2 linked regions of the Drosophila melanogaster genome follow. The protein of the gene in region 2 interacts with the protein of the main gene of each other region in a pairwise test. Each region holds a gene or a part of one and is shown on either strand. Other genes may lie near its edges. The genes, in order: kel and Grip71.

What was found.
Region 1: the proteins of Grip71 (region 2) and kel interact in a two-hybrid assay, tested with the Drosophila melanogaster proteins (2 studies listed by BioGRID).

The regions. Positions count from the first base shown.
Region 1 is NT_033779.5:18,132,258-18,139,948, reverse strand, and holds the start of kel (kelch), read left to right. Parts: upstream 1-1,865; 5' UTR 1,866-2,017; coding exon 2,018-2,472; intron 2,473-3,973; coding exon 3,974-4,375; intron 4,376-5,122; coding exon 5,123-6,335; coding exon of another isoform or gene 6,336-6,361; intron 6,362-6,423; coding exon of another isoform or gene 6,424-6,986; intron 6,987-7,339; coding exon of another isoform or gene 7,340-7,691. Other genes in the region: Socs36E (suppressor of cytokine signaling at 36E), read left to right, coding at 1-104. UniProt on the Drosophila melanogaster protein: Component of ring canals that regulates the flow of cytoplasm between cells. May be involved in the regulation of cytoplasm flow from nurse cells to the oocyte during oogenesis. Binds actin.
Region 2 is NT_033779.5:18,706,014-18,713,429, reverse strand, and holds Grip71 (Grip71), read right to left. Parts: upstream 4,585-7,416; 5' UTR 4,493-4,584; coding exon 4,303-4,492; intron 4,244-4,302; coding exon 3,949-4,243; intron 3,887-3,948; coding exon 3,045-3,886; intron 2,990-3,044; coding exon 2,376-2,989; 3' UTR 2,133-2,375; downstream 1-2,132. Other genes in the region: Irk3 (inwardly rectifying potassium channel 3), read left to right, coding at 1-124, 268-478, 846-1,241, 1,320-1,426, 1,697-2,093; Faf2 (Fas-associated factor 2), read left to right, coding at 5,192-5,314, 5,569-6,633, 6,691-6,897.

The sequences.
Region 1 (7,691 bases), 570 kb from region 2:
CCGGTCGGCTGAAGAGCTACCTTAAGGAGTATCACTACAAGCAGAAGCTGCGCGTCAAGCCCATCGACCAGAACACCCCGATGCCGTACTACGGCAATGTATAGCGGGAGGAGCAGCAGGTGGGCTTCACCTACTACGAGGACGTGGAGAGCGGCAGCGAGGTGGACGAGGACGACGACGAGGGGGTCAACATACGGGTCTCCTACGTTCAGCACGCCGAGGTGGTGGCCCAGCTGCAGCAGGTCACCACGGCGTCGGGCCCATCGGCTCCGTCCTCATCCAGATCGTCCAATCTTCAGGAGCACCTCAGCAGGCTGCCCAACCGCATGGCAGCCGCCTTTGGTCGGATGTCGGCCAATCTGAATTGCTACCAGAAGACTGTCGCCACGCCGGAGCGTCACTCCAACTCCTCCTGAGGATCAGGACGTGGACGGAGGGGCAAACAGAACCCAGAAACCAAAACTCAAACTGAGACAATCCCAGTGCAGCGTGTGCCGCCACCATAAGTTAAAAGATCAAACGCGAAGCCACATAACAAAATCGCTAGCTCGCTACTACAAGACTGTCATGGATCAAAAACCAAATGTTCACCATATATATCTCACCTATTGGAATGCAGCTCGGACGGATTTTTGAGTTGTGGCACTCTTGAAAGCGAGCTGGTAGAATGTAGAATCGAAATCGCAGTTAGCTAATTGTACTATAAACTAAGTATTATTATCTAAAGCAACCCTCTCTCCTACACACATAAGTATTGCAAAAAGAAGGGCCAATCGAGCTTTTCGTAATCGCTGGTATTCTTGTAATATTTCATTGTATTTATTTGAAGTATGGAATCTAAATGATGTGTTACTGTTACGTGTAAATACGAGATACGAATGCAGCTTAGTTAGTGTAAAACTCTCTCATTAGCCAAATTTCCAAATGTAATTTTCGCCTATTTATGAATATACTTTATTTATTTATTCGAAGTGATTTCGTTCGCAAGCGAGTGCTTTGTTTAAAAAGAAAAAACCCGTCAGTTGTACACGTGTAGAGCATTTGTAAATACTACCGATTTTCGCATTAAGCTGTAGCTATATTAATATAATGAATTATAAATCATGTATTCCTACCTAGGTGGTTGCTGTTATTCGTAAACATTCAATAAGCAGTTGTTTCCAATACCTATTTAATGTATTTTACATATCTCACATGTTGATGAGCATGCGTATCAATATTCAAAAACAAAATCGAAAAAAGAGTCAAACAAATAAAGTTGATCAAGATATTAGAAAAAATCTCAAAGTGTGTTTTGAATCAGAAGTGTGGAATCATAATCAACCCAAATGATTGATGTATTTTAATATCTTTAACAAATGAATGTTTAACTCATTCGTTATTTTCATTATAAAGTCGTGAATTCTTTATAAAATGAGAGTAATCAACTAAAATCTATAGATTTCTATTTATTTTATTTTATATCTATAAAATATCTATAGATATTCTATCAAGATTATGCTGAACTAAACCTTTTTTACTTTCTTTTATGGAATTCGAATATGCAATCTTAATGAATTCTGTGTCGCATATTTGTAATCTTTTTGCAATTTTATTTATATATTTTTATAAGATGAATTAGGTATGCTTTTTTTAAGTTTAGGTAAATGTGGAATATTAGTTTGTATATCAATTTAAAAATCACACTTTTTGAAACGTACGTATAAATAAAAATTAAAGGGGAGAGGTCATATTTAAGATGTAATTCAAGTGAATTACAAAAATTCAAAAATTAAATGACTTTATCATTAATTTTATAGTTGGAAACAAAGCCAGCTCAGTGAGAACTGGTTGAAAATGCCTATCGGACTATCGATGAGTATTCATCGCTAGTGGTAACTTGCGACCAACCCGAGGCTGGTCACACTGCTCTGGTCGCGTCCAAAAAGTGTACAATTTTTCACCACCTCGGTTTGTTTTTTCGGACCAGGCGAGGCACCTTCGATTCGCTGCGACTTCCGTTTCCGATCCGTTTCGGATGATAGCTCTGAGTGCGCTGCTAACCAAATATACGATCGGTATTATGAGCAACCTAAGCAATGGCAACAGCAACAACAACAACCAGCAGCAGCAGCAACAACAACAGGGTCAGAACCCACAACAACCAGCACAGAATGAAGGCGGAGCGGGAGCGGAGTTCGTGGCGCCACCGCCCGGACTAGGTGCCGCAGTGGGCGTGGCAGCCATGCAGCAGCGCAACCGCCTGCTGCAGCAGCAACAGCAGCAGCACCACCACCATCAGAATCCCGCCGCCGAGGGAAGTGGCCTGGAGCGGGGCAGCTGCCTTCTGCGCTACGCCAGCCAGAACTCCCTGGACGAGAGCTCCCAGAAGCACGTCCAGCGGCCAAATGGCAAGGAGCGCGGCACTGTGGGGCAGTACAGCAATGAACAGCATACGGCGCGCTCCTTCGACGCCATGAACGAGATGAGAAAGTAAGGATGGCACGAGATCCTGTCGAAGGATCAGTTCGTACGACTATAAAATTTGGTTAAGTCCTTAAGCATCATAAAGAAGTAGCCAGGGTTTCTAAAGACCTTAAGGCAGTATATTTAGATCCACAAATAGTATTATATCCTAATTCCTACCTGTGAGAGGTTTTAAAAACCTTAGGTAGAACATTGGTTATTTTGTACCTGCCCTGGAGAATAGAACACACAGCACCCACATAGGACTTTTAATGATATGCAGAATTAGATCTATGTGATTTTATAGCCTGATTATGTAAATAAGCACACCTACAACGGTTCGAAAAATGTTTCAAATGTCATTTGTTTGCTCAACAGCAAACCAGCTGAACGTTCGTTCAGGTTCTAAAAAGGTGTCAGCTATTTCCCAGTTACTATTTCCTTGACAAAACAAGCTGATCTGAGTTTCTACCACTAAAACTTTCAGTTGTTAAATATGACGACCTACCTCAACTTAATATAAATAGAACTGTGCTAACTACACTCTATTATAAACTCATCTCCTCTGTTCCCGGACAAAGGCGCATGATTCAATCCCTGCGTGTTCGACGGGAACAGGTGGACCGACTGGCTCTCGAGCTTTGAGATTTGGGCCAAGATGCGAAAATAAAATCTCTGAAAATGTCAGATGATCGTCTCTCGCATATTTGCGCAGTTCGCTTTGTTTATCTGGCCGTTGCTAATATTTGTGTTTGCACACTACATATGTATAAACGAATATTTGCCGCCGCTTTTGTCGTGGGGCCATTCGCATTAATTATTGTCTAGTTTTTATTATGATGAGTTGCTTACGCCTTCGGGTTTCGCATTGGGCCACGACCTTGAACTTGGTTGCGGCCAAAAATGATATTCGTTTTCGAATCGCATTTCGATTCCGCTTCCGCGTCTCCGCCTTTGCTTACTTTTTGGAAAACTACTGGGCGTATGGAAAATTTATTGGTAGCTTACATAAAACGAGTTTTTTTTTTCGGACCAATCATATCGTATTCGGCGCGAAAGTGAATGTGGTATAACCCAAAAAGTAAGCCGAGCGTTGTAATGTGGATTGCTTTTTGATTGGGAATTGAATCACACAAATATTTCGTGAGGTGTATATTCTATGAGATTTTTTTTATTGGGTTATAATTATAACACCTTACGATTTTGAAGACAAAAGATCTTAGTCTTTTCGAGTAGTCATCATCATTTAATGGCGCCATAATTTGCACAGTTAATAGCATCCCCGTCTCTTTTTACAAAACAAAATATTTTCCTCTTGAAAAAATTCAAGCACTTTTGTTTACAAACATACATACCAGCCTTGAAGATATTTAGCACGCTTTTAAACTGTTTATTTGGCAATCAAAACGATCTATTGCTAGTGGATTTCAAAGTCTCAATATTGTCGATACATGACGGTTACTAACCAATTTACTGCGTACAAAAAAATGTATCAAATCTGATATATATATATTTTTACCTATAACAGACAAAAACAGCTCTGTGATGTGATATTGGTGGCCGACGATGTGGAGATCCACGCTCACCGCATGGTGCTGGCCTCCTGCAGTCCGTACTTCTATGCGATGTTCACCAGTTTCGAGGAGTCGCGGCAGGCGAGGATCACCCTCCAGAGTGTCGATGCTCGGGCCTTGGAGCTGCTCATCGACTACGTATACACTGCCACGGTGGAGGTAAACGAGGATAACGTGCAAGTCCTCTTGACCGCCGCCAACCTGCTCCAGCTCACGGATGTGCGAGATGCCTGCTGCGACTTCCTGCAAACTCAGTTGGATGCCAGTAATTGCCTCGGCATCCGGGAGTTTGCCGATATTCATGCCTGCGTGGAACTTCTCAATTACGCAGAGACCTACATCGAGCAGCATTTCAAGTAAGTGGCTAGATTGTGATGACGCAGTATGGGCAGACAAATATAAAATTGTTTTGATTTGCCTGTTTACAGATAGGAATCCATTACTGTATCTGTTCAGTGTTCACTTTTAGAGCATGTATATTGGGAAGACTCACTTTAGTTTGTTCTATATCTACGGATAGTAATTCGTATTTAAATTCCAGTGAAGTGACTATTTATTTATTATTTATTGAGGATAGAAAGCTGCCGTACAACAATATCAATTGAATCGATTAATGGGATCAGATATTTTAATAATTATAGTAACATTTAATAACATGTGTCAAGTTAAAGTTCCTTAGACTCAACAAAAAGGATTTTTAATTATATTATAAAAACGATTAAATTCCTAGGTGTGTTTGGAATGTATCAAAATTTAAATAGTTTAACAGTCACGCATTGGTGTCTTCCAGCATCTGTTTGAAGTCGCTAATTTTGGGTTTCCATAAGATCACGAATTTAATCTTATATTAATTATATTTTCGAATTCAACTACTGAATTAGTAATAACCAAAGTATCAGAATTATATAAGTTCTCATTGATTTCATCAGGCAGAAACAAAATTAGTTAATTATTAAGTTTATATAACAGTAAACAGACGCAAAACCGAAAGCAAATGTGCAATATAAACCATTGAACCGGTTGCGATTAATTAAATTTACTTAGCCCACTCCTCTCATTCCTTGCGCCCCATTACTAACTGCTTGTGTTTGGTTTATTTGCAGCGAGGTGATCCAGTTCGATGAGTTTCTGAACCTCTCGCACGAGCAGGTCATCAGCCTGATTGGCAACGACCGGATTTCGGTTCCAAATGAGGAGCGCGTATACGAGTGCGTCATCGCCTGGCTGCGCTACGATGTTCCTATGCGGGAACAGTTCACCTCGTTGCTCATGGAGCATGTGCGTCTGCCGTTCCTGTCCAAGGAGTACATCACACAACGTGTGGACAAGGAGATCCTCCTCGAGGGCAATATCGTGTGCAAGAATCTCATCATTGAGGCATTGACCTATCATCTACTGCCCACTGAGACAAAGTCCGCTAGAACGGTGCCCAGGAAGCCGGTGGGCATGCCCAAGATACTGCTCGTTATTGGAGGACAAGCACCCAAGGCTATACGATCGGTGGAGTGGTATGATCTGCGAGAGGAAAAGTGGTACCAGGCCGCCGAAATGCCCAACCGCAGATGCCGCTCCGGCTTAAGTGTCCTGGGTGACAAAGTCTATGCTGTCGGAGGTTTCAATGGATCACTGCGTGTGCGCACCGTAGATGTCTACGATCCTGCCACGGATCAGTGGGCAAACTGCAGCAACATGGAGGCCAGACGATCTACCCTGGGAGTAGCTGTCCTCAATGGTTGCATATACGCCGTGGGTGGATTCGATGGCACTACGGGTCTGTCGAGTGCCGAGATGTATGATCCCAAGACTGACATCTGGCGGTTTATCGCCTCCATGTCCACGCGTCGCAGTTCTGTGGGCGTAGGCGTCGTCCACGGACTTCTTTATGCCGTGGGCGGTTACGATGGCTTCACTCGTCAGTGCTTATCTTCAGTGGAGCGCTATAATCCGGACACGGACACATGGGTTAATGTGGCGGAAATGAGTTCGCGGAGGAGTGGCGCCGGAGTGGGAGTGCTGAACAATATCCTTTATGCCGTTGGCGGTCACGATGGTCCCATGGTCAGAAGATCTGTTGAAGCCTACGATTGTGAAACGAACTCCTGGCGTTCAGTGGCAGACATGTCATATTGCCGGCGAAATGCGGGAGTGGTGGCTCATGATGGCCTGCTGTATGTGGTCGGTGGCGATGATGGCACCTCAAATCTAGCTTCTGTGGAGGTCTACTGCCCGGACTCGGACAGTTGGAGAATACTGCCTGCTTTGATGACCATCGGACGCAGCTATGCGGGCGTGTGTATGATCGACAAGCCCATGTGAATGGAAGAGCAGGGTGCATTGGCCCGGTAAGTCAATGGAAGCATTGTTACCAAAACAAATTATAATAATCTCTCTTGTTTCTTTTCAGCCAAGCTGCTTCGTTGGCCATCGCACTGCTGGATGATGAGAATAGCCAGGCGGAGGGCACGATGGAGGGCGCCATTGGTGGTGCCATCTACGGTAATCTGGCGCCGGCTGGTGGGGCTGCAGCGGCTGCAGCTCCAGCTGCGCCGGCTCAAGCTCCCCAGCCAAATCATCCGCACTACGAGAACATCTACGCGCCAATTGGACAGCCCAGCAACAACAACAATAACAGCGGCAGCAACAGCAACCAAGCTGCAGCCATCGCCAATGCCAATGCCCCTGCAAATGCCGAGGAAATTCAGCAACAACAACAACCAGCTCCCACTGAACCTAATGCCAACAATAATCCGCAACCGCCAACAGCAGCAGCTCCAGCACCATCACAACAACAACAACAACAGCAAGCACAGCCACAACAACCTCAACGCATACTGCCCATGAATAACTATAGGAATGATTTGTATGATCGATCTGCCGCCGGCGGAGTCTGCTCCGCCTATGATGTTCCGAGAGCCGTGAGATCTGGCCTTGGTTACAGACGCAACTTTAGGATTGATATGCAGAATGGTGAGATTAAGAATAATATTAAGCAGAAGACAGTTACACTAGCTTGATTCGTACTTTTAAGTATGAAGTGCTCAAAAGTTGTCTTTCAATTAACCTCTTTTTGAACGGTTGCTTGTGCTATATAACTTTGTACGTATCGGTTTGCCTTCATTTTCGTGAATATTTTAAGCAAACAGCCTTTTTAAATGTTGTGAGGTAGGAAGCAAAAACCATTTAAACTTCAAAACAAACACGAAGTTCAAATCAATTATTAGTTCTTAACGGCCCACATTTAAATCAGCATTTAAACGCATAGTTTCTAACTTTTCGTATAACAAATGAATTTTCATTAATCGCTATATTTTCCACTCTAGGAAATCGATGTGGAAGCGGTCTTCGTTGTACTCCACTTTATACGAACAGTCGATCCAATTGTCAACGCCAGCGCAGTTTTGACGACACTGAGTCCACGGACGGCTACAATTTGCCTTACGCCGGAGCGGGAACAATGCGATACGAGAACATCTATGAGCAGATTCGAGATGAGCCACTTTACCGCACATCCGCTGCGAATCGAGTTCCGCTCTATACACGTCTCGATGTTTTGGGTCATGGAATCGGAAGAATTGAAAGGCACCTTAGCTCGTCATGCGGCAACATCGATCACTATAACTTGGGCGGACATTACGCGGTATTGGGACACTCGCACTTCGGAACCGTGGGACA
Region 2 (7,416 bases):
TGCTCCGTTCCTCCGAAAAGGAGACGGTCAATGCGTCCGATTACTATCCGGAGAGTCCGGGATTCGTACGGCGCAGAAGGTCAAAAGCAGCCGGCGATCACCTGGAAACACGCAGCGAGCAAAAGTGAGTTGAGTTTAGGCAAAAGAAATTACCAATCAGATAGTTGTTATAATGACTATGGATACTAAGAAACGAAAACCTTTATTTTCTATGAACTTTTCTGGTATTATAAAAACCCTACAAGTTTATATAAATAATAATATAAGTCCCACGTTTAGTTTCCCCTACGCACACGACTGGGCGGGCAGTACGATTGAGCTTACTCCAGATTTGGGATCCGGACCGCGGACTTCCTCCTCCGATGGACTGAGACGCAGCCTTAATCGCGTGATGGAAAAGAACGGCAAGGAGAACGTTGTGTTCCGCCGCATTCCGGAGAAGTCATGGCGCTACATGCGGGATCTGGTCACCACGCTGGTAAGATCCTGGTTCGGACACAGGAAAACGTCTACACCCAGGGCCGATCAATCGCGATCGGATGTGTATAGCATAACGCCCAGTATTCAGCGCAGACTCGATGAACTGGCCAATGAGCCACCGCACCTGAGTCCCCATTTTTCGAAGTCTAATCCTAACCAAAACGAGCGCGTCACGTTCAGCATATAGTTTGTAGTACATTGATCAAGCCATGACCGACTAAAATACTCACACATATTAATAAATACGTATTAACCAACCACATATTCACTTGCTAAATTGAAGGGATACACAGTAAAGATATTAAAATGGGTCGTATTTTCATTCATTGGTAATCCATAAAGGTCGTTTCTTTCCAATCGCGCAGATGGAACTGGAGTGGAAGTATATGCTGACCCTGTTCCTGGGCAGCTACTTCCTCAGCTGGCTGCTCTTCGCCGCCCTCTGCTACGTGGTGGCCTACTCGCACGGTGACTTCATCTTCGATCCGGTAAGTGGCAAGCGAATGGGCGAGGGCGTGGATCCCTGCATCTACGGGGTGCACAGCTGGGTGGCCATGATCATATACTCTGTGGAAACACAGACGACCCTCGGATTCGGCGAAAAATACGCCAGCGAGGAGTGTCCGGAGACGATCTTCCTGTTCGTCATGCAGATGTTGAGTGCGGCCCTAATCGAGGGCTGTATGGTGAGCGTGATCTATGCCAAGACCGCACGGCCGGCGAGGCAGCTGACCAAGCTGAAGTTCAGCGATAAGGCGGTGGTAAGTAAAATGCCTCCACTGGGCGAGAGGAGTACACCCAACCATTCGGATCCATCCTTTAGCGATTATCTCACGTAGATCTGTTATCGCGACGGCAGGCTTTGTTTGCTCTTCCGCGTCTGTGATCCCCGCGAGCAGCAGTCCATCGAGTCCAAGATACGAGTCTACATCATCGTGGACAAACGGTGAGTCACAGTCGCATTTTAGGGAAAATCATAGAACTTAAGAATCCGCGGTTAATTTGGGTATATTTTCCTATTTTGTCTTGATCTTCAACGTTTTTTTTTCAATATTTATAAATGCTATAGAAACAATTTAATCACACTTGACTCCTGAAATATTGACCCAGTCATAAGGAAAGTCATAAATGAACTGACCTTCCATTCAGATAGTACTTGCTGCTGGATAAAACAAGCAATTAATACGAACCCCCATCTTATCTATTTCTCTGACAGCACGCGCGAGGGTGAGACTATAAAAAGTCACGTGGAACTGAAGCTGGAGGGGAATGGGGAGCAGATTATTCTCTGGCCCGATGTGGTGTGCCATGTCATCGATGAGACCAGCCCGTTGTCTCAGTTCACCACAGCGAAACTCTTCAATGCTGCCCAATTTGAGTTGTATGTGTCCATTGTGGGCACTTCGCCTGCCACAGCGCAGATGACGGAGGCCAAGACGTCCTATCTGCCAAGGGAGATTTTCTGGGGCCAGCGGTTCGTCAATATCATCCATTACGACGCCCAAAACGAGCGCTACATTGTCGACTACGAGAACTTCAACAGGACCATATCGGTGGACATGCCCATGACGAATCCGAAAAATGATCACTTAAAGCTAGAGTACAGAAAGTGAAAAGGGTTTTAAAAAATACATTTTAAGAAGCTTTCTTATCGCATTACACTTTTGGCAGCACTATATTAATAACGAATTCAAAAACATTTTATAGACCGAGGTAAATATTCTAAAACATTTGTAAAATATCTAAATGGATCGATTAACGAATTAAAATTTACATAAAACTCATGAGACGCCAAAACCTATTTTGAAAAATGTTACTAATAGTTGATAATAACAATAAATTAAATACAATAATAACAATGTTTCAATTAATTATTAACATGTCTCCCCCTCGTTTTACTCTCCGCATGATTCAGTTTGCTCCTGCTCCTGGTAAAACTTCAATTTGGCCTTTAACATTTCGTTTTCATTTTGTAGGCGCGAGAACTCGCGCATGAAGCTATCTCCTTGAAGTAGTAAAGCCAGGGCGTCCCGGATCTCCCTTGTGTTTTCCACCTGCTGGTCCATGTAGTTGGTCATCTTATTAGCCAATAGCCGCTGATTAGAGAAGGTAACGTACTCCAATTCGCGCTCCACCTTCTCGCAGCGCTGGTCTACAAAATCTCTTAGCTCGCTGAATTCCTTGCGCCAATCTGCATCCATTTGGGCGGAAAGTCCGCTTGACGATTTGGCCAGCAACTGCTGAGGCTTCAAGAGAGGATTTGAGGATTGTGGTGTGATGTTAGCATGGTGCGGGGTACTGTTTCGACTGGCCGAAAGCAAGCGCAGACGGCGTTTCATTTCTGCGTCAACCGGCGGGGGATTCTCTTTGTCGCTGCCGCCTCCTGTGCTGCTGGCCACGGAAATGTTGGCAGACTGCTCCTCGCAGAGCTCGTCCGTCTCGGCAATCTTCATCAGCTTTCCGTCTCCGGAAATGTTGCTCCGATCCTTCAGTGGGCCGCTTAAGGTCTCTGCAAGTAATAAGCTTATTATAACTAAAAAATAATAATCTCTACAGTAACTTGCGTTGCAGTGACTCCGTGGTGGAGCTGTTGACGGAGTTATCCACCGAGCTTGGGCCAGACGCCACTGGAGGACAAAGACTTTGACGATTGGCAGTTTCATAAGGTTGCGGTTTTCGGTTGAGCGTCTCCCAGTCAAAACTATCTCTGTAAGAGGCGCCCAAGCGGGTCGACATGCGATCCACAGCTCTTGGACCTTGGGCATCCAGGAACTCGCAAAAGGAATCCCGGCGAACTATGGTAGGTGTTGACACCCCGTAACCAAGACTGGTCAGCTGGTTTTGGGTGCTCAACAAATTAGCGGCAATCGATTTACGCAACTCATCGCTGGGCGCACGCTCTACACGAGGAGCTTCGGTCGCCAAACCAGTTGCATTTTCGGAGCTGTTGAGGCTACCGTTCTGCTGGTTATCCCCACTTGGCACGGGCACAAAGGCTACACGTGTTACAGCCGCATCATGTACACTCCTCACGGCCAACGGAGCCTTTGTACTCCTCATATCATAGGCTATTAATTCGCCCTTAAGGTTTCCAGCACAAAGATAAGTGCCACATTCACTCAGCGCCACCGTCGATAGTGGATGCGAGTAGGTCAAGCGATCCGTAGAGGCCTGAGCACGATTTCGTCGAATGTCGAAGATATTTATCTTGCAATCGTAGCCCACGCTGACCAGCAGTGCCGGTTGGGATGTGCACATACTGATGTCCCGGCAGGGAGCACTGTGGGCTTCGCTGGCATGAAAAATCTTTCGCATTCCCTGCACATCATAGACAGTCACGGCTCCTTTATAGGAAGCGATCGACAGATGAAAGCGTTTGCTCGGATGAAAGCGCACAAGAGTAGAGCTGATATTAACAGGATAGCGAAAGATCAATGCAATCCTTTAACAAGCAAGCCTTTAACTTACTCGCCATCTATGGTGAAGGTGTTGGTCTTCTGTTTGGTCTTGGTACCCAAGATACTGATGTCCCCGCCATCGCGCACGGCGGCTATATACTCGTCCGTGTTGTTGTAGTCCATGTAGAGGACAGTACTCCTTTGCGGGTCCGCCGGAAAACGATGGATGAGCTGTGCCGTCCGAAAGTTGTATAGCTTAACACAACCGCTCTGACCCACAGCGATCTCTTCCAGGGATTGCTTGGCGCACGCCACACAGAAGGCATTGTCGATGGTGAGCTTACGGACTCGTTGAATCTCGGGCGCTGTGAAATGGGAAGTTAATTACATACGTGGGATTTGGGGATCCGCACCTCTCTCTTACTCTTGCCATCCTTCTCCTTTATTCGCATCACGGCCAAGCCCGCCATTTTATCCACCTCCACGAAGACCCGGCGTTGGCCGTTGAACTGAAAGTCCGTGGGCTCTGCGTTCTGGTGCACATACTCAGACTTTGTCTCCAGATCCGCGAAGTCGGAGAGCACGGTTTTTTTAGACGTGGAAATAACATGCATTTTGATTTATTTCTTCAGATATTTACACAATTCAAATTTGAGTGCTTTTGTTCGGACTGATTTAAGAATGTGCCCGCTGCTTTATTACCTGAAAATTCCAAAGCTCGTCCGTCGATTTTCCAAGTGATGTTAGACAAATATGCTGATTCCACTACACATTGTCCTTATCTAACACCTTTGAATTATATATCAATATTGCTTTTAATCTTTTTCTGTGTTTTACCACGCCAGGCATAGAGATCAAATAAATAATAAAAATAATTTTTTAAAAAGCGAACACAAATTGTTTGTTTGCCGCTGGATTTCGCAGTGAGAACGCGTCGGCCTGCGCGGTCACACTAGTCATTCACAACCAAATTCATCGGATCATTGGCAGAAAGGCAAGAAGAAGAGCAAGCAATCACCTGCGAAAAAGAAATAAATTGCCGAGAAATGTTAAAGACGTTGTAGTGCGGCAATTTGGCGTGCGTTGAAATGACTCCTGGCGACCAGTAGAAGCATTTAGTGACCACGCTACTCATCCCCCGTCCCCCGCCGCAGCGGCTGAGCCACTGGACAAAGGCCAGCTTACAACAAAAACAACACCAGGGAGACAGTCACGGGCCATTGGCACCCACACAAGCACACACACGCACGCACTGCGTAAAAGCAAACAACAACGATAACAACTGGGAACGGAGGCCTTCAACTGCAGGAAAGATGGAAGCTGATGGACTGACCAACGAACAGACGGAGAAGGTCCTCCAGTTCCAGGATCTCACCGGCATCGAGGATATGAACGTCTGCCGCGACGTCCTAATCAGACACCAATGGGATCTCGAGGTATGCATATGTTTATATGCCCACACAGTGAATGTCAAAATAACAGGGTCACGTAGTCTTGCAGTCTTGCATACAGTGGTGGCTGCAAGAATACTACTACCAACAAGTTTTGTACATATATATTATCTGACGACTAAAGATAGTAATCATTTTATTCTAAATTCTTTTTAAATTTGTTTTTTACAATTTTGCGTTGGGCGCCCTGCTATACTAAATACCAGCTTATTTACCCTTTTTCATATCTACATATGCAGGTGGCCTTCCAGGAGCAGCTAAATATCCGCGAGGGGCGTCCGACCATGTTCGCCGCCTCTACAGATGTCCGAGCGCCCGCTGTCCTTAACGATCGCTTCCTGCAGCAGGTGTTTTCCGCCAACATGCCTGGCGGAAGGACGGTTAGCCGGGTGCCCAGTGGCCCCGTTCCCCGCAGCTTCACCGGCATCATTGGATATGTGATTAACTTCGTGTTTCAGTACTTCTACTCCACGCTGACGAGCATCGTCAGTGCGTTTGTGAACCTGGGCGGAGGAAACGAAGCCCGCTTGGTGACAGATCCACTGGGGGATGTGATGAAGTTTATTAGGGAATACTACGAAAGGTATCCCGAGCACCCGGTCTTCTATCAGGGCACATATGCCCAGGCCCTTAACGATGCTAAGCAGGAGCTGCGTTTTCTAATCGTTTACCTGCACAAGGATCCCGCCAAGAACCCAGATGTGGAATCCTTCTGCCGCAACACACTGTCGGCGAGATCGGTCATTGACTACATTAACACACACACCCTGTTATGGGGATGCGACGTAGCCACGCCGGAGGGCTACCGGGTGATGCAGTCGATAACGGTGCGCAGCTACCCAACGATGGTGATGATCAGCCTTCGAGCAAATCGCATGATGATCGTCGGACGTTTCGAGGGGGATTGCACGCCCGAAGAGCTGCTCCGTCGCCTCCAGTCGGTGACGAACGCCAACGAGGTGTGGCTGAGTCAAGCGCGTGCAGATCGCTTAGAGCGGAATTTTACACAGACTTTAAGAAGACAGCAGGACGAGGCATACGAGCAGAGTTTGCTTGCGGACGAGGAGAAGGAGCGTCAGCGGCAAAGGGAGCGGGATGCCGTCCGGCAGGCGGAGGAGGCTGTGGAACAAGCTCGACGCGATGTCGAGCTTCGCAAGGAGGAGATTGCCCGGCAAAAGATCGAGCTGGCCACATTGGTGCCATCCGAGCCGGCAGCGGATGCTGTCGGCGCCATTGCAGTTGTATTCAAGCTGCCCAGTGGAACACGCCTAGAGCGCCGATTTAACCAGACGGATTCGGTGCTTGTAAGTTACACAAATTTAAACTGCTAATTTGGGATTGATGATTTGATGTTATTGCAGGACGTTTATCACTATCTCTTCTGCCATCCCGATTCGCCGGATGAGTTCGAGATCACAACGAATTTCCCGAAGCGCGTGCTCTTCTCGAAAGCGAACTTGGATGCCGCTGGGGAAACAGGCACAGCCAAGGAGACGCTGACCAAAACCCTTCAGGCCGTAGGACTCAAGAACCGCGAGGTGCTGTTCGTTAACGATCTGGAAGCGTAACCAAGCACCACCTACCAAATGAAAGCATCATCGTGTTACCAGCAGCAACGCATTACCAAAACTTGAACCAAGTTTTAAGTAGTCGTAGTCAACGTCCAAGTCGGAGGATAAATAGAGAAACTATTCCTAATTTAATCATGAACATTAATATTAATAATTGTTTAACAATGTTTAGGTTGATTCTCTGATCTGCCCAACACCATCAACCAACCCGTTTCTCAAACATTCACACATCAGTAAAAATCGTTTCCAGAATAATTTCCGTGAACCACAATTTAGTTCTTTTTATTTAAGATGCGTTGTTATGTTAGCTGTACTTATACTTCCGTCTATTTAACGAATAATAGAGGCACATTCTTGTTATTTGACAGAGAGCTTGAATTCAATTTGAATTTGAGTTTAGATTGAAGATATAAATAATCATTTAAAGTGAGAACGTTCAAATACACAAGTTCGGGACAGTTGATCATAAAAAATATAGTTATACAGATATTACTTTAAAACACCAAACAAGTGCTT